Linked DNA regions of Drosophila melanogaster. The protein of the gene in region 1 interacts with the protein of each later gene in a pairwise test. Each region holds a gene or a part of one and is shown on either strand. Other genes may lie near its edges.

Evidence for each region. Proteins that work in one complex are often made in the same cells at the same time.
Region 2: the proteins of fd3F (region 1) and pdm2 interact in a two-hybrid assay, tested with the Drosophila melanogaster proteins (one large-scale study listed by BioGRID).
Region 3: the proteins of fd3F (region 1) and Ptx1 interact in a two-hybrid assay, tested with the Drosophila melanogaster proteins (one large-scale study listed by BioGRID).

Annotation. Positions count from the first base shown.
Region 1 is NC_004354.4:3,800,552-3,805,359, forward strand, and holds the start of fd3F (forkhead domain 3F), read left to right. Parts: upstream 1-1,764; 5' UTR 1,765-2,005; coding exon 2,006-3,198; intron 3,199-3,674; coding exon 3,675-3,770; intron 3,771-4,808. Other genes in the region: HIP (Hsc/Hsp70-interacting protein), read left to right, coding at 9-200.
Region 2 is NT_033779.5:12,655,299-12,660,182, forward strand, and holds the start of pdm2 (POU domain protein 2), read left to right. Parts: upstream 1-1,866; 5' UTR 1,867-2,775; intron 2,776-4,884. UniProt on the Drosophila melanogaster protein: DNA-binding regulatory protein implicated in early development. Involved in neuronal cell fate decision. May act as an octamer-dependent activator of transcription.
Region 3 is NT_033777.3:30,910,971-30,915,771, forward strand, and holds the start of Ptx1 (Ptx1), read left to right. Parts: upstream 1-1,783; 5' UTR 1,784-2,614; intron 2,615-4,801. UniProt on the Drosophila melanogaster protein: Appears to control physiological cell functions rather than pattern formation during embryogenesis.

The sequences.
Region 1 (4,808 bases):
TTTCGTAGGACATTTTGTCAAATCCGGGTAACATCACAAAGTACGCGTCGAACCCGAAGATATACAACCTTATCAAGAAGATTGTGCCCGGTGGAGATGTGGGTGCTGCCTTTGGCCAAGCGGGTGAAAAGGCTGGAAAGCCGAGCGAGCCTAAGCCTAAAAAGGATTCCGCCGACTTCGTCGATGACGGTTTGGACTAAGGTTTAGAAATGGGGCAGTAGTAAGACTGAAACATGCGTCGATAAAAAGAAGTTAACAAACAATTACACGAAATCGAGCGAGATTACAAAACAACAAAGAAAGAGAAAGCAACAGAGTGCGGGGAAGAAGATGGACTACACGAAAAACAAAAGGGAAAGCAACTGCCTTACACATTTTTGCAGCTGGGAAAAAACAAACATTTCCTAAGCTTTAACTTAACCAACACGTAAAAGAACGGGCGACAATGGAGAAAATTCAAATATTCAAAATACTACAAGCAGTCAGAAGAATAAGCAACATTTATTTAAATCGAGAAGAAAGAGATGTTGGAGATGCTGGAGACGCTTCTTCACATATTATTGAAAAGCATACTTGCGGCCATTAAAGTGGCAAATGAAACTATACAAAGGAGCTAGAATATGCTTAAAAACTTCACATTTGCAGTTCACAGGTAAATCAAAAGATTGTCCTGTAACGAACAAAACATGAATGTTTAGACGTCAAGTCAGATTCAAGGGTGCCGATCGATCTAGTTGAACTAAAGCTCGAGAAACAACCAAAAGAAAATAAAAAATATATATATGTTCAATAATATTAGCCTAAATTACCGAGAACGAAGAAACGGATAAAACTAATCGCATCATTTGGTCAAACAAAATTGTACTGAGTAGGATTTAAATCATATTGTATGCAAATGCATTTAGCCCCCCAACATGAAAGCAATCGCCCATTCATTCACACACTCATTCACACACTCATTCACACACTCATTCAACCAGTGATCAATGGAAATAAATAAACGAATCAACAAGAACCCGAATTGCTAATGTCCATATTTTTTGGTAAACGGGTAAAAGGGGAGATACTTTTGCTTTTTTTTCGAGCGGGTTGAACAGATGGAGCCGTAGTCCCTTAAACTATCCGGCGCATCACCTGTGTGGGTTGCTCACTTTGTATGAAGTACATTGGGTACGCATGGTGTATGAAAGCGTCGATTAGACGCTTCAATGGCTGCACCCTGCACCCTGGATCCAGAACCTATCTACCGCACCCCGCCCCATGTCAGCGCGAAATTGGCTAACGGACAGCTTGGCGCACATGTTCGATTATGGCCAAATCGAGCGACCAAGCAGAACCAGCGGCACATGACCTGGGCTCAGCGATGCCAAGACCTGGGTGGTTGTACCTAGAGGTACTTGATTGCTTTTTAAACTCAGCTTGGTACAGCGTACACGACTGATTATTTAGAAGCTATGACAGCTTTCTTTGCTTTGATATTTTTCATATTTATATATAAATTATAAATATATATTTATAAGCAGGTGATATGGTTGAAACATATATCAACGAATATGTCAAATATAATACAGTGAAGTGTCTGCATTATTTTATTGTACCTGCGCCATCACAGGTACGGCTCCTCTTTCCATCGACTGCAGACGTACCGCTTATGTGCATGACTGGGTGTCCGGGGTGGTGGATGTGAATGTGGATGAGTGGCAGGAGGGCGCAGGCGCAGCTCAGCCCAACAGCCAAGTTGGTCTGGACTCCTGGCGGCCCATCGCATTCCGTGGCCAGTCGCAGCGCGAGACGGTTAGCCAGTTAGCCAGTGCGGACCGACTAATTCCCAATTTCCGCTCTTGACTAAACTAAAGATTGAGAAATAAAGAAAGAAATATCCTTCGTCCGTCCCCCAGACGAAGCAGGTCAATTTTTTTTTCGTGTTACTTGCTCTTTTTCGCCAAGTGTGAGTTGTGTGTTTTGGCTTGGCTAACGTGATTGAAATCGAGACAGCCGGGACATCATGATTGTCAACATGCCCGTCAATGGAACGGGCAGTGCATCCAGCCCAACATCGAATCCCAGCAGCAACAACAACAACAATAGCAGTACCACCAATCAAAATGATACGAACACTAATCTTCCCGGTGATTACAACTTTCTTAAGCGCAAGTTCGACGATCAGGAGGATTTGGCTTTGGGCCACGACTACGAGCCCATCGGGGCAAATCCCTGGAAGAAGCGACACTTGGACTACGATGCCGGGGACCTGCACTTCCACCTGCAGCTGGAACAGCCACCTAGTAATCCGCCAACCAACGCTGCACCCGCCCAATCCTCGACGTCCTTCATCAACGATCTCTTTTCCTATGAGAGCAGTCTTCTGGTGCCCGCCGTCGCCTATTCGCACTGTCCACCATCGAGTGCTCCATTGGATGACAATGGTGGTTGGACCGGTGGCGAGCTGCTGGAGCTGGATCATCGTTATAACTCCGGCCTGCAGGCGGAACTGGGGCAATTGAATGCCACTTTGCCGCCGCCACCACCAACATCATCATCAGCTCAAAATGCATCCAATCATACGCAGCAGTCAACACAACAGAATGTCAGTCCTGGTCAGAACCCACATCAGAATCAACATTTTCTGGTGCCGCAGAAGCAGCGGATACAGTCGGCGGGCCGACGCACCTCATCCGGTTCGGTTAGTGGGGCCAATGAAGCCACCGAGGCGGACTTCGAGGATAAGAACCTCTCGTGGCTGCTCAACTTTAAGTTCGACGAGTTCCCGCACCTATCGCCGCACAATCAGATTCACGGACAGGCGGTCAATCTGCCGGAGGGCAGTGCTCCACCTCATCCACCATCGACGGCAGTGCCGATCGCCACGTCGCCCTGCAGTTCCTCCTCGCCATCATCCGCCTCCGCCGCATCGGCATCCGCATCCGCCATAAGCACAAATCAATCTCTCGGATCGGGTTTGGTGGATCAACGGGCCAGATCGCCCAAGAGTTGCTCCAGTGCAGCGATGCCAGCGGCATTAGGAGGAGGAGGCAACGGCTCCGCTGGCGCTTCAGCAGCGGGGGGCGTGGCCGGCGTGGGCTCCACCAAGACTGGGCGCAAGTTCGAGGAGCTGGTGATGGAGGTCACCTCGGAGTTGGACGGTAACGACATGATAGTTGCCGAGCACGTTGTCGTCGAGGATACTTCGTCCAAGGCGTAAGTGTTGCAGAAATAAAACAATATGACAGTGTCAACGGTTAAATTCTATATTTCCTAATTTATTTGAAACATCTATTTATTCCCGTTACTCATAGAGGAAAAGGGTATACTAGATTCGTTGAAGTATATATAAAATTTGTTGATCAGGATCAATTTTTAAATTTTTTTCTCATTTTATTCCCCAATATCTATCGACATCCCAGAAAGATGATTAAATTTCGCGTTCGCATTCACACTAGCTGAGTAACGGGTATCTGATAGTCGGGTAACTCGACTATAGCATTCTCTCTTTTGTTTTAATATATTTAACAATCTTTTTCTCTGATTTGTGCGTTCTCCATTTGCTTTCAATGCCGTCCTCCAATCGATGCCGCCAACGAATTTCCCCAACCACGCAATCGCCGATCCACTAAACCACCGAACCACCCACCAATGTGGCTGAAATCCAAAACCAACCACCGCAAAACAAGCAGGCCAAAGAAACCACCGTTCACCTACACGGAGCTCATCGAATACGCCCTCGAGGATAAGGGTGAGCTGACTGTGTCGGGCATATACCAATGGATATCGTAAGTACTGTCCCCCATCGAACCACCCACTGAATCAACCACCACCGCCCACCGCCCACCGCCCATTCGGATGGACGCCATTTTGTGGAGTGCTAGCCATCCTGTTATTTTTTTTGATGGCAAAAAACGCCAGCCAGGATGCAATTAAACAAATCTCAAGCATTTCGTTTTGGCCATTCCCGTTGGCCATTTGATTTCCTCGTTCGCTGGGTATTTCTTCTTACCATGTTTTCGTTCCTTGGTTGGTAACCAAACTTAAACAAAGTGCCACACACCGGCAAACAAACGATAGCGGCCACAATGAAAGTGCCAAAAGTTAGCAGCTCAAACAGATTTATGGGCTAGAAAATTGCATTTACCTTGCCTTCGCTCGCATAAGGTGAAAAACAAAAATGTTGTTAACCAAACTATTTGCGGGTTGTTCAACAAGTTGTTTATGCCAAACTGGTATTCCCTGGTATTATCAGCTTATACGGATAGCGACCCATTAATTTTGGCTTTTGGATTGTTTAGTGGCAATTGTTGAGTATACCAAATTCTTAGTTTTATGGTGATAAGTGCTTAATACGGCTCATTCCGTATTAGTTAATCATTCAATAGTATTCAAAACTAGTTAATCATTACCTACTTTTCGCAAAACGTTAAAATTTTCAAAATTCCATTTTTACCACGCTGAGTTCGAAAATATCAATTCGTCAAGAATCGCTGACGAAGAAAACAATAAGTTTTAACACATTTTTCAAGGTTCATCAATTTGGCCTTTCGCCCCCACTGCTCCCCACCTGTTTTTTGTTATTCATTTCTTTTGTTGTCTTCGAATACCCGGAATCAGTGTAAATATTTGATGCCGCAGCCGCGAATGTTGCGTGTAAATATCCTATATAAATTTACATATAAAACCACCCCGCTCGGGAGGGGGAGGCAAATAATTTATGACATTTGCCCATCACCTGCGCACCTGCACTCCTCACCACCCCCCCGCATTTAATGTAATGAATCGACAGTCCAAGAAGTTTCGGCTCAGTTCGAATGGGCGTG
Region 2 (4,884 bases), on another chromosome or scaffold:
CGCATCAGTTTTACTCTTCCCCAACTTCTTTATTTCATAACTATCTTTTGATTACCAAATAGTTACTCCGTGAATAGTTGGGTCATACTCTTCAGAACCTACCCCCACAAACTAAACCATTTTCAGACGAAACCCATCGATTAGTTGGATTTAAGCATCTCGAAACAGCGACAACTTAAATGCTTACAAAACAAGAATAGTGGAAAAGAGGATGTAAAGGAGGCTGCAGAGGAACCAAAACACAAGCAGACGGGCAGACAAGTGAATAGAAGTGACAAACCAAAAATAAAAGGGCCAAGAAGGGAATTTCCTCGGCGCTAATCAATGAAATTAAAGCTGCGGCCAAGGCGAAATATCTTTAAGGACTCACTACTGAGGGGGGGCGGCATGGGGGAGTGGAACATATAGAATAGTGAGCGAGCCAAGCTACTGCCAACTTTAATGAACGGAAATTAGCAGTCAAAAGGTAAAAGCCCTCTCGCTCTCTTTTTTTCACCCGCAGCATCTGGACGCCGCGGCGAATTCGCGCACATGCACACACAATGGCCAACGGCGAAATGGAGAGAGCTCCCCACGAAGAGCGAGCATGCGCCGCAAGAGAGCGCCAAAGCTCCATGCCGATTGGCTGCCGGCTGCCCACTTTGGGTGAGTGTGTTTGTGCGGGAGAGAGCGCGCTTGTTGGATATATTTCCCCAAGATTTTCTACCTCTCCCTCCGCACTTTCTCTCTCTTGCGTTCTCTTTCTGTTCAGGCATAAACAAACCATTTTGAATAAAATCAACAGCAACAACAGCGGCAACAACTACGTTGTTGCAACAATGTGGATCCCAAGTTGCCGAGAAAAATCAACTGATTCTACACTTAGAAAAGTTTTATATATTGGTTATAATACAATTTCATTAAAAGCCTATTAACATTATAAATTTACTTATAATTGTAAAAGAAATGTATTTAAAATACGCTTAGAACCTTTATATATAAATGTATAAATTATAATATATTCTATTTAGAGTAACAATAAAAACCAAATTAAGTTATACCAAGACGTGTTTGTGAATATTTGTTAAGATAAAATATAGAATTTAAGGTTTATTTCTGTTAAATATTAAAATGGTACAATAGAAAATGACTGGAATATATATTATATAATTTTTGTAAGTGTATGGTTACTACAGTTGCTTGTGGTGCTTCTTCTTCCATTTATTCAGCTAGTACTGCTCTTCTTCTAGATGCTTTGGCCTGGTCAAGTTGCATTCAATTGCAGTTTTTCAGTTGCCACTCCGTTGGCCGATTGTCGGTTGTCGTCCTCGCGACTTTTCTTGTTTATTTTTTCAACTAGCTGTGTGTGCGTGACAGCAACAACAATAATCTGAGGACGCCTCTTGTAATTATTTTAATTTATGCGTTTATCGCTTTTTGCCTTTTGCCGCCGTTCAGCGGATTCTGTTGGCTATCTGTCTGCATTTGGTTCGTTTTTTGCCTTGACATTCGCATTTTGACAGCACGGCGAATAATTCTCGGTTCTGCCATCATTGCAATGTCAATTTTTTTCATTTTTCATTCGCTGATATTCCGACTTGTCCACGGGGCGTATGCGTAACGCGAGTTGTGTTGTGATTTCTGGCAAGTGCAATGCCGTCGGAACATTGATTTTGAAAGGAATTAAATCTGTTTTGCCCATAAAATCATCTGCTTTAGTATTATATGTTTTATTTTATAAAACTTATTATTTTTATAAAAGAAAGAAAACGGTTTGGTATATAAGCGGCCATAAAAAAATCAAAAAATCTTGTATCTTGTGCCGAATAAATAATGAATCATATGATGAGAAACAGTACTTGAATCAATAAGAATTTTAATATATTTTATTATATTTTGCAAACTGAATTACTTGTATACCCTTATTCGGTTACTCGTATGAGCCTGACTCCTCTTCTCCTTCTCAATTCCCTTCAAGAGGAAATTTTCATGCCGCTCTAAACTACAAATCAACTTAGGAGCCCCCATATTATTTCTTCCCTCAACGAACAGAAGCAGCGGCAGTCAATACATACATAATTCGGAATCCGATAAGAGCCACCCACCCATATATACATATATAGAACACTCACACACACATATGCAGTACTATTTTCCACCCACACAATACAAGCTTTTCATTTTAAAACCTCCTGTAAAAAAAAAGAAGCAAGAGAAAGAAAAACGAAGTCAAACGCCCCAAAACACCCACGCACCACCCCCTCCACCTGTTTTATGGCTCCCTTTCCCCACCCCCACAGACACACACACACACACAGAGGCACATCGCAAACAGACCAATACACTGGCACACTCACACTCACTCACTCTCTCCAACATCTTCTATAAAAAAAAAGTATTTTTTGTACTCGCTTGACATTTTGTGGATACGTCGGACGTCGTCGGAAGTCGTCGCGAACTTTGCTTCTTTTTGCTCTTTCTCTTTTCTTTAGTCTGCTTTTTTTTCACTTTTTACTTTTTGCCCATATCTCCTTGCGCGTTTTTTTAAGTCAGTCGTTTGTCGGAAGTCAATCAAAAAGCGTGTCTCGGAGAATTGTCCCAAAAGACAGAGATCACCTCACCTCACCTCGACGGCCCACAGAAAATGCAGAAAGGGCGTGAAGCTGTCGCCATTCTCGTTGGCAATTACAATTTATAAAAGTGTGGCAAAGTAAACAATTAAATTATAATTCGTGACAGCAGGCGAAAACCAGTAGAGGAAAAACCAGTAAGGAGGTGCGCCATCTTCCAGCCCAAGTGAGTTTAACTCTTTTTTTTCTTTTGTACCCACTGAGTGTGTCAAGGAGCTTGTCTTGTAACGCCCACACTCAATGCGATCGATGGATCAGCCAGATGGATGATACAGATGCCGCAAGAGAGAGAGAGAGGGCAGAACTGTTTCTTCTGGCCTGTCAGATTCCTAATGAGCTTTCCCAAGTGTCTGCGCGTATTTCAGCGTCCTTAATTGGCCATATGTGTTTGAGGGCCAACAAGTGTCCCGATATGGCTGACTATGGTAGTTGGACGGGCGAACTGAATCCATCATAGAGATCTTGGTCGGGCTTTAGCTAATCATAACAAAATTGTGACCATGTTCTGGTCAAATCTTTAACAATGGAAAATCTTAAGGTTAGATCAAATTAAGATGCAAAATGTATTAATAACAAGCAATTATCTTCAAAATGAGGCAATATATATATATATATATTGAATATAGTATTTGATTTAAAGGATAGTTTAATAACTTTTTCTAAATTTGTTCCATTCCATATATTTTTCATAAACCTTCTGTGATTTGTGTACCCTATCTTAGATGTGCCACATATATATTTTTATGGGTTTTTTACAATTCCACTTCTGGCAATGATTCGATCGATAATCACGACAAACAATTTCTCAACCGAAAGTCAGGCAAATCACATCATCGAACTAAGTTCCCTCGTATCTTTACAACCGAACCGTGTACACCCAATAGAAAATTATGAAAACACAAATTCCAAATTGAAGACAAACACAATGGCAATGTTCGGTATTATATGATCGGCGATACGTTTCCAATTGGAGTAAGCAATTGTGTTTAATTTTAAAACAAGATGAAGTTAAACAAAAATAGCGAAAGCCCCGATATTGTCGGCCCAATAAGGAATTACCGTGCCGATTGGGAATTATTGAAAGTAGCACCGAGGAATAAGTGACTGCATTTAGTCGGCGTTCGCTTTGATCATACCGGCAGATATATCGATTCCTGGCAATTGGTTGCTGACATGCAAAGAACATAATTTACCGACTGGCAAAATTGATAAACAATCTTCGTGTGGCACTTTGGTTGCGGCCAATTTGCCGTCGATACTGACAACTCAATTGATTTGTTTACAAGTGCCATTAATGTTAGTTGCCCCGACCCGCCTCTTCGTGGCTCATATGTACATAAACCCGTTTGGTAATGTATGTAAATAACCATTTCCATAAACGCACTTGCACTTTTCAGCACCGTATCTTATCTGGCCAAGTTGACTTGTTGTTCGGGGCATTTGATCGTTGCGCTTGTAGTTTAATTTCCCATTTCTATTTCCTTTGATTTCATCGCCTTTTGCCGTGATTTTTCGACACCCACCCACCCACTCCTTATCTCATTTGACTTCAATTTGTTTTCAATTTACAACAATTTCGTTTCAAACCACATTTGGTAAATGTGCCCATTTTCATTCTCCCATTTTTTGTTTGCATAATAATACAAAGTTTAGGTTTTAGTGCCTTTTATGGTGTCTACTGCTGTAAAGTTGTATACAACCACTTTTCACTTGTGGGAGCTGATTCGACAGGCCATGGGAAAATTTAGAGAAATGTTTGGACTGCTCAATAAACGAATTTAAAAGAGCAAACATTTAAACTATATAAATTGCGATATGTACTTTTATGACATGTTTACTTTCGAGTGGTATGGAATTTCTGTAATTATTTAACTGAATGATATAGTTTCTCACATATTAACATTTTCATTCAATGCTAGGTACAGTAAAACTTCTAATCAGTAACTTACTTTACATTTACCTTTTAGAAGAGAATATTAACTTTTAAACTTTTACCCTTATATATTTTTTTATCAAAATACAAACTTGTAATCGCAGAATGGGCTGACAATGCAATATACTCATGAGCCAGTTAATAAACTAAACTAATTAATCTCAGTTATAAGGTATACAAACATCCGTTCGATTTCAAACAAATCCACTGTTTCCACCTGTAACGTGAAAAGTCACGTGTACAGGAATGTGGATGGGTCAGTTATTTTAAGGGAAAAATCAATTACTTCCGCTATCGAGTCGTAAAGATCACAGCGCTCTATGTATTTAATAACAGCTTTTT
Region 3 (4,801 bases), on another chromosome or scaffold:
TCGCTAGATAACAGTAGATACCGCGAAAACGGTCCCCCTTTTGATATCGGAAAGTCGAAAGTCTAATTTCGGTTGCCCTAATAATTGAAATACGACCTGGTAGATACCCGCAGCGCTGGGCCAGAAATAGACAGCCTGTCATCAATATAAAAGTCGGGGATTTGGCCAAGGGACACAAAGGACATTGTGTAATTACGCCATCGTAAAACAGAAATTCCCCGGGGTGCTGAAAGTCGGACCTTGCACCACAGGTGGAGAACCCTTTATCATCATATTGTACTGCATCATCGTCACTCAGGTGAAATTCTCCCCTCTGAGTGGGTGGATCGCTGGAGTACCAGCCAGCCCTTCTAACATTGTGCCACATTTACGTAACTGGGCAAATGTGTGACGGCGAGTTCAAAGGCGGTAAACTCGAGAAGGTCTGAGCAACTCGAGTGGCTTTAGTATTTCGAGGGCCTCCTCTCAGCGCGATTATCATTTCAAGTCTATCTGCAATCTGGGTTATGCCAGTCGCACGTTCTGAGAGGTGGCAGTAATCAACAAAAACATCACACCATGGATTGCCAAAATGAAATATATCCTACAAATATATACAATTATTAAATATATATAAGTGGGTTAGATATTATGAAGCACGTTTAACATGACAGACTGATTCCCATTCTCTACTTCATCTTGTCGAATTGATTTATTTTGTTACTATGGAATGCAGTAAACTTCCTGAGATCTCCAGAGGTCATGAGTTATGACTCGCATGGCCATTGGAAATTATGTCTGATTAGTTCCGTGGCATGTCAGTTGCGGAATACGAGGCTATAAAGCCAGCATCATTTACATCAGTCGGCTGTCTCCCGGACCATTTCCTTCAGCTTCCCCCTTTCGACCCAGCTAAACCCATTCTTCCACTCAAGGAGGAGGATAAAACCTAAGGGAAAGGCAGGCAAATGCGAAATAAAAACGAAAATTATGAACTGCACAAAAGCTGTTGTGAATATTAATAAATTCTGCCTGCTGCTTGTTTCTGTTTCTGTTTCAGTTTCAGCTTCCTTTGAAAGTATCGCTGTCTCTGTGGCTGTATTTCTGTGCTGGCAGAGCGAACAAATCAAAAAGGGGAAAGTCCCAGGGAGGAGATACAGATACAAATACAAACGCAAGGATACGTCAAAAGGAGCAGTTATTTATTTATTTGCGAGGGGCGGTCGGGGGGTTAAACTGGCACAGGCACAGGCACAACAATGGCGGGCTAACGCAGAATAATGGGATAACAAAACGCCCTTGACACCCAGTAAAAGACAGCCAGCCCTCAAAAGTGGGCAAAGTAGCCTTATTATTATGAACACAGCACGTAGCAATTGTCCAGGGGCGGAGGGCAGGGCTCTGCCAGGGGTCCTCAAAGGGGGAGAACGGAACAAAGGACCAAACCAGAGCCAAACCCGAAAGTACAAATCAAACCCTCGAGAGCGGCCAAATAATGTACGGATGAAGAGCGAGAGGGAGAGTGGGCGAGAGAGGGAGAGCACAGCAATGGCGCACTGCAAACACCAGGGTCTGAGTGAGAGAGAGCGAGAGAGTGCCGACTTTGGGGGTGTGTCTTCCACGCACTCGAATGATCGGACCTCCCTTTCGCACTGCCGCTGCACAGGCAGCTCTCGCTACTCGTCGGCCAGAAGACCATCTCCCTCACACCCTCTCGCCGGTGCACGGGCAGAAAAGAGAGATAAGATAGCGGGCAATACACGGGGCTCTTGCGTTCGAAAGGCGAAATTCCGGGGTATTGCGTTCAGTAGCCGCGAGTTCTCGTCGCCAGCACCACGTTTACCGTTAGCACTGGCCCAACCACCCCGCACAACCCCACCAGCCAGATACTCGCTGCATGCGCTGTACAGTGTACACGCATCCAACAGATACTTTTCCGAATTCGTTTTCAATCCAGCTACGTCCTGTTACGGATGCAGACGCGTCGCCTCCGTTGTGATACCAGATACATGTAATTGCAGGTCTAGAGCTACAGATTTAGATACAGAGATTCGAGTACCCTAGCAGATACTTAGCCTAATTACGCCGTGGATTAAACTATTAAACACTTAAATCCGCCAGGATTTGCCTATCAAATCAAATCGAATCGAAATCATATCACTGAGAGTGCCGCGAGTGACTGTGTGCGCGAGTGTGTGTTTCTGTGAAGCGGCAGCGAGATTAAAAACATATCCCCGAGTTACTTAAAATTAATCACTAACATAATCACTGTGATTTTTATTATTTGATCTGCCGACGTCAACACCGCGTGTGCGAAAACTGTTTAACGGCTGGGGCTTTATTAAATGCCGCTTCGCATTTGATTAGCAATCTGTTGCAACAACACAGCACAAACCTACCGATCTCCCCGAGATTTATAGCCCACTGCCCACGCGATATATCCGGAAGATTTTCGGAGACTTTCCCAGATCTCCGGCATTAGAAATGCTGGCCATCTGATTTATTGACGGACCCACGACATTTGCTCCATCAAAGTTCGCCTTTGATATTCGGGATCGACAGAACCAGAGAACCGACGGAAGTTCGTTCCCACCACCTAGTGGATTAATTTTAATTCCTCTCCCATCATTCAGAGGTGAGTCGCAGTCGCATAAAGTTAATCATAACTTAAAACTTGTTACACTGACCTCAGTGATTCTTGAGTTGCTAACGCACGAAGCAAGAAATTATAAATCAAATTTGATTTAGAAATTCAAAGATTTTAGAAATTGAATTATATAGGGATCTTTTAAAAACGAAAGTTATTATCAGCAACAACGATGTGTTAGGTCATAATAGCCAACAGAAGTTTTCCGGTAAACACCTGGCTAGGAACTTAAGCGCCCCTTAATAGCAATGTCAATTCAGCTGATGCTAGGAAAACAGCCTAGCTTTCCAGCGAGGATCAGCAGAGGTTCCCATTGAGGGCCCAGAGCAAGCCCATAAACGGCTTGTTGGACAACGAATTAAGTTTACGGCGGACTCTCACGCCGCGCATAAATCACGGCGGAGTGAGACTCGGATCCGGATTGCCGCCATAAACAGAGATCTCGGCCATTCCGTAAGGGGGCCTCTGGGCTTCTGGGCCAGTACTGTGGGTTTTGCCAAAAAAATTGGAGGAGAGCCCGGCCAAGCGGCGCTGGCTCATTGACGTCACCTGAACAATTAGCAAACAAGATGTGGAAAAAACCTAAGTACACAATGCTCGGACTCGGATCTCCGGGCAGCCGCTAAACTCGAATTTGAATAAAATAATAAAATTAAATAGAAATGAAAGCATGTGGAAAGCCTTGGCACAACATCGGAATCTTGGCACCTTCGCGACGAAGAGGCCGTAAACACACGAGATCTCGCGGCCATAAAGTGGCATAAAATAATTCTGGCATTCTTTGTCTTAGGGAATCATTATGTAAATAAATTCTCACTTTTGAAATAAAATGACGAGGCAGAAAAGCCAAAAGCTGAAAAACACACAAGAAATGGAGCGGAGAATATTCTTTGGCGAAATGGAATGGAAACAATGGCAAACTGGCAACCGAATTATTTATTAGACGCTGCGGCAGATAATTTAGCCAGAAATTGAGACAACTGCGGCAAAGACAGAGCAAATAACAGTATTATAAATATCCCCATCACGGCAATAAATGCAGAACTTTTCATTTCAACGGCTGACCCCCCCCCCCCACCCACACACACACCAACTAACCAATCGTGTGGCCCATAAATTGGCTTGAAGTGAAATTATGTTTATCACGAAAGGCTGCCTATTATTATTGCTGTTGAACAACCGCAAATGGATTTAACATTACAGCCGCACTAATCCACTGGGGATCAAGTGGAGATCAAGCGGCATTATCAGCGAAATCGAAAGTGACAGCTCAAGCCAAGGCATTCCAATTAAATTTAATTAAATTCACTTAAACACACAACTGCGAATTTATGCTGCCGCTAGATTTATGAAATTCGTTCTCGTTTCGAATGCCTTTGAATGCCTTTAGTTTGTTGTGATTGAGATTAGATAACCATTTATTGCAACGTTTCGTTTCGTTTAGTTTGGTTTCGTTAGCTCAGATAGCGGACCGCATATATAACGTATATGTACATATATGTATATGCCCATTCCCGCCCGATATCGGGCAAAGGGGCCTAGGAACCTGGAGAGGTGTTCCCTCCCTTTTTGCTAATTGATTTACGATCGTTTATGGCTATTTTCGTGCTACTGTCAGTGGGCTGTTTTTATTTTTAACGAATTTATTGGACGCCCATGGCACAGTTTATCGCACTACTGACTGTCAGTGCGGCGCTCTACTACTTCTTCGAGCTTTCCCCAATTTCGATTGCCAAAATCCAAAGGCGCCCAGTGTACGTGCAATCATAACAATAATAATAGCGGAGAAATGCTCGCAGAAATGAAAATATTTTACATCGATAAGGCTGTTATCACCTGGCCCCCGCCATCTCCGCTCCAACAGTCTGCTGATAGCAGTGTAGGCGGTTCGGGGGTGCGGTGGTGCGGTGGCTCGGTGGTGCTGTTGTCAGCCCATATGCCCCACCAGATCCCCTCAGGTGCGCTCCGCCAGCCATACGATTTACGACGCCAACTGAAAGAGTCCCAGTTTACCACTCCGTTTGCCGCCGGCTCCAGCATCCGTGGTATTAACCCCTTGACGTGTTTGGTGTTAACTTGCCATTCGGCTGGTGTTTGGGTTAAGCTCCCTGTTTGCCTTCGCCGTTGAGGCGATAAAAGGTTCCACCAGTTGATTTGCCTACCAGGTAGCCAGCC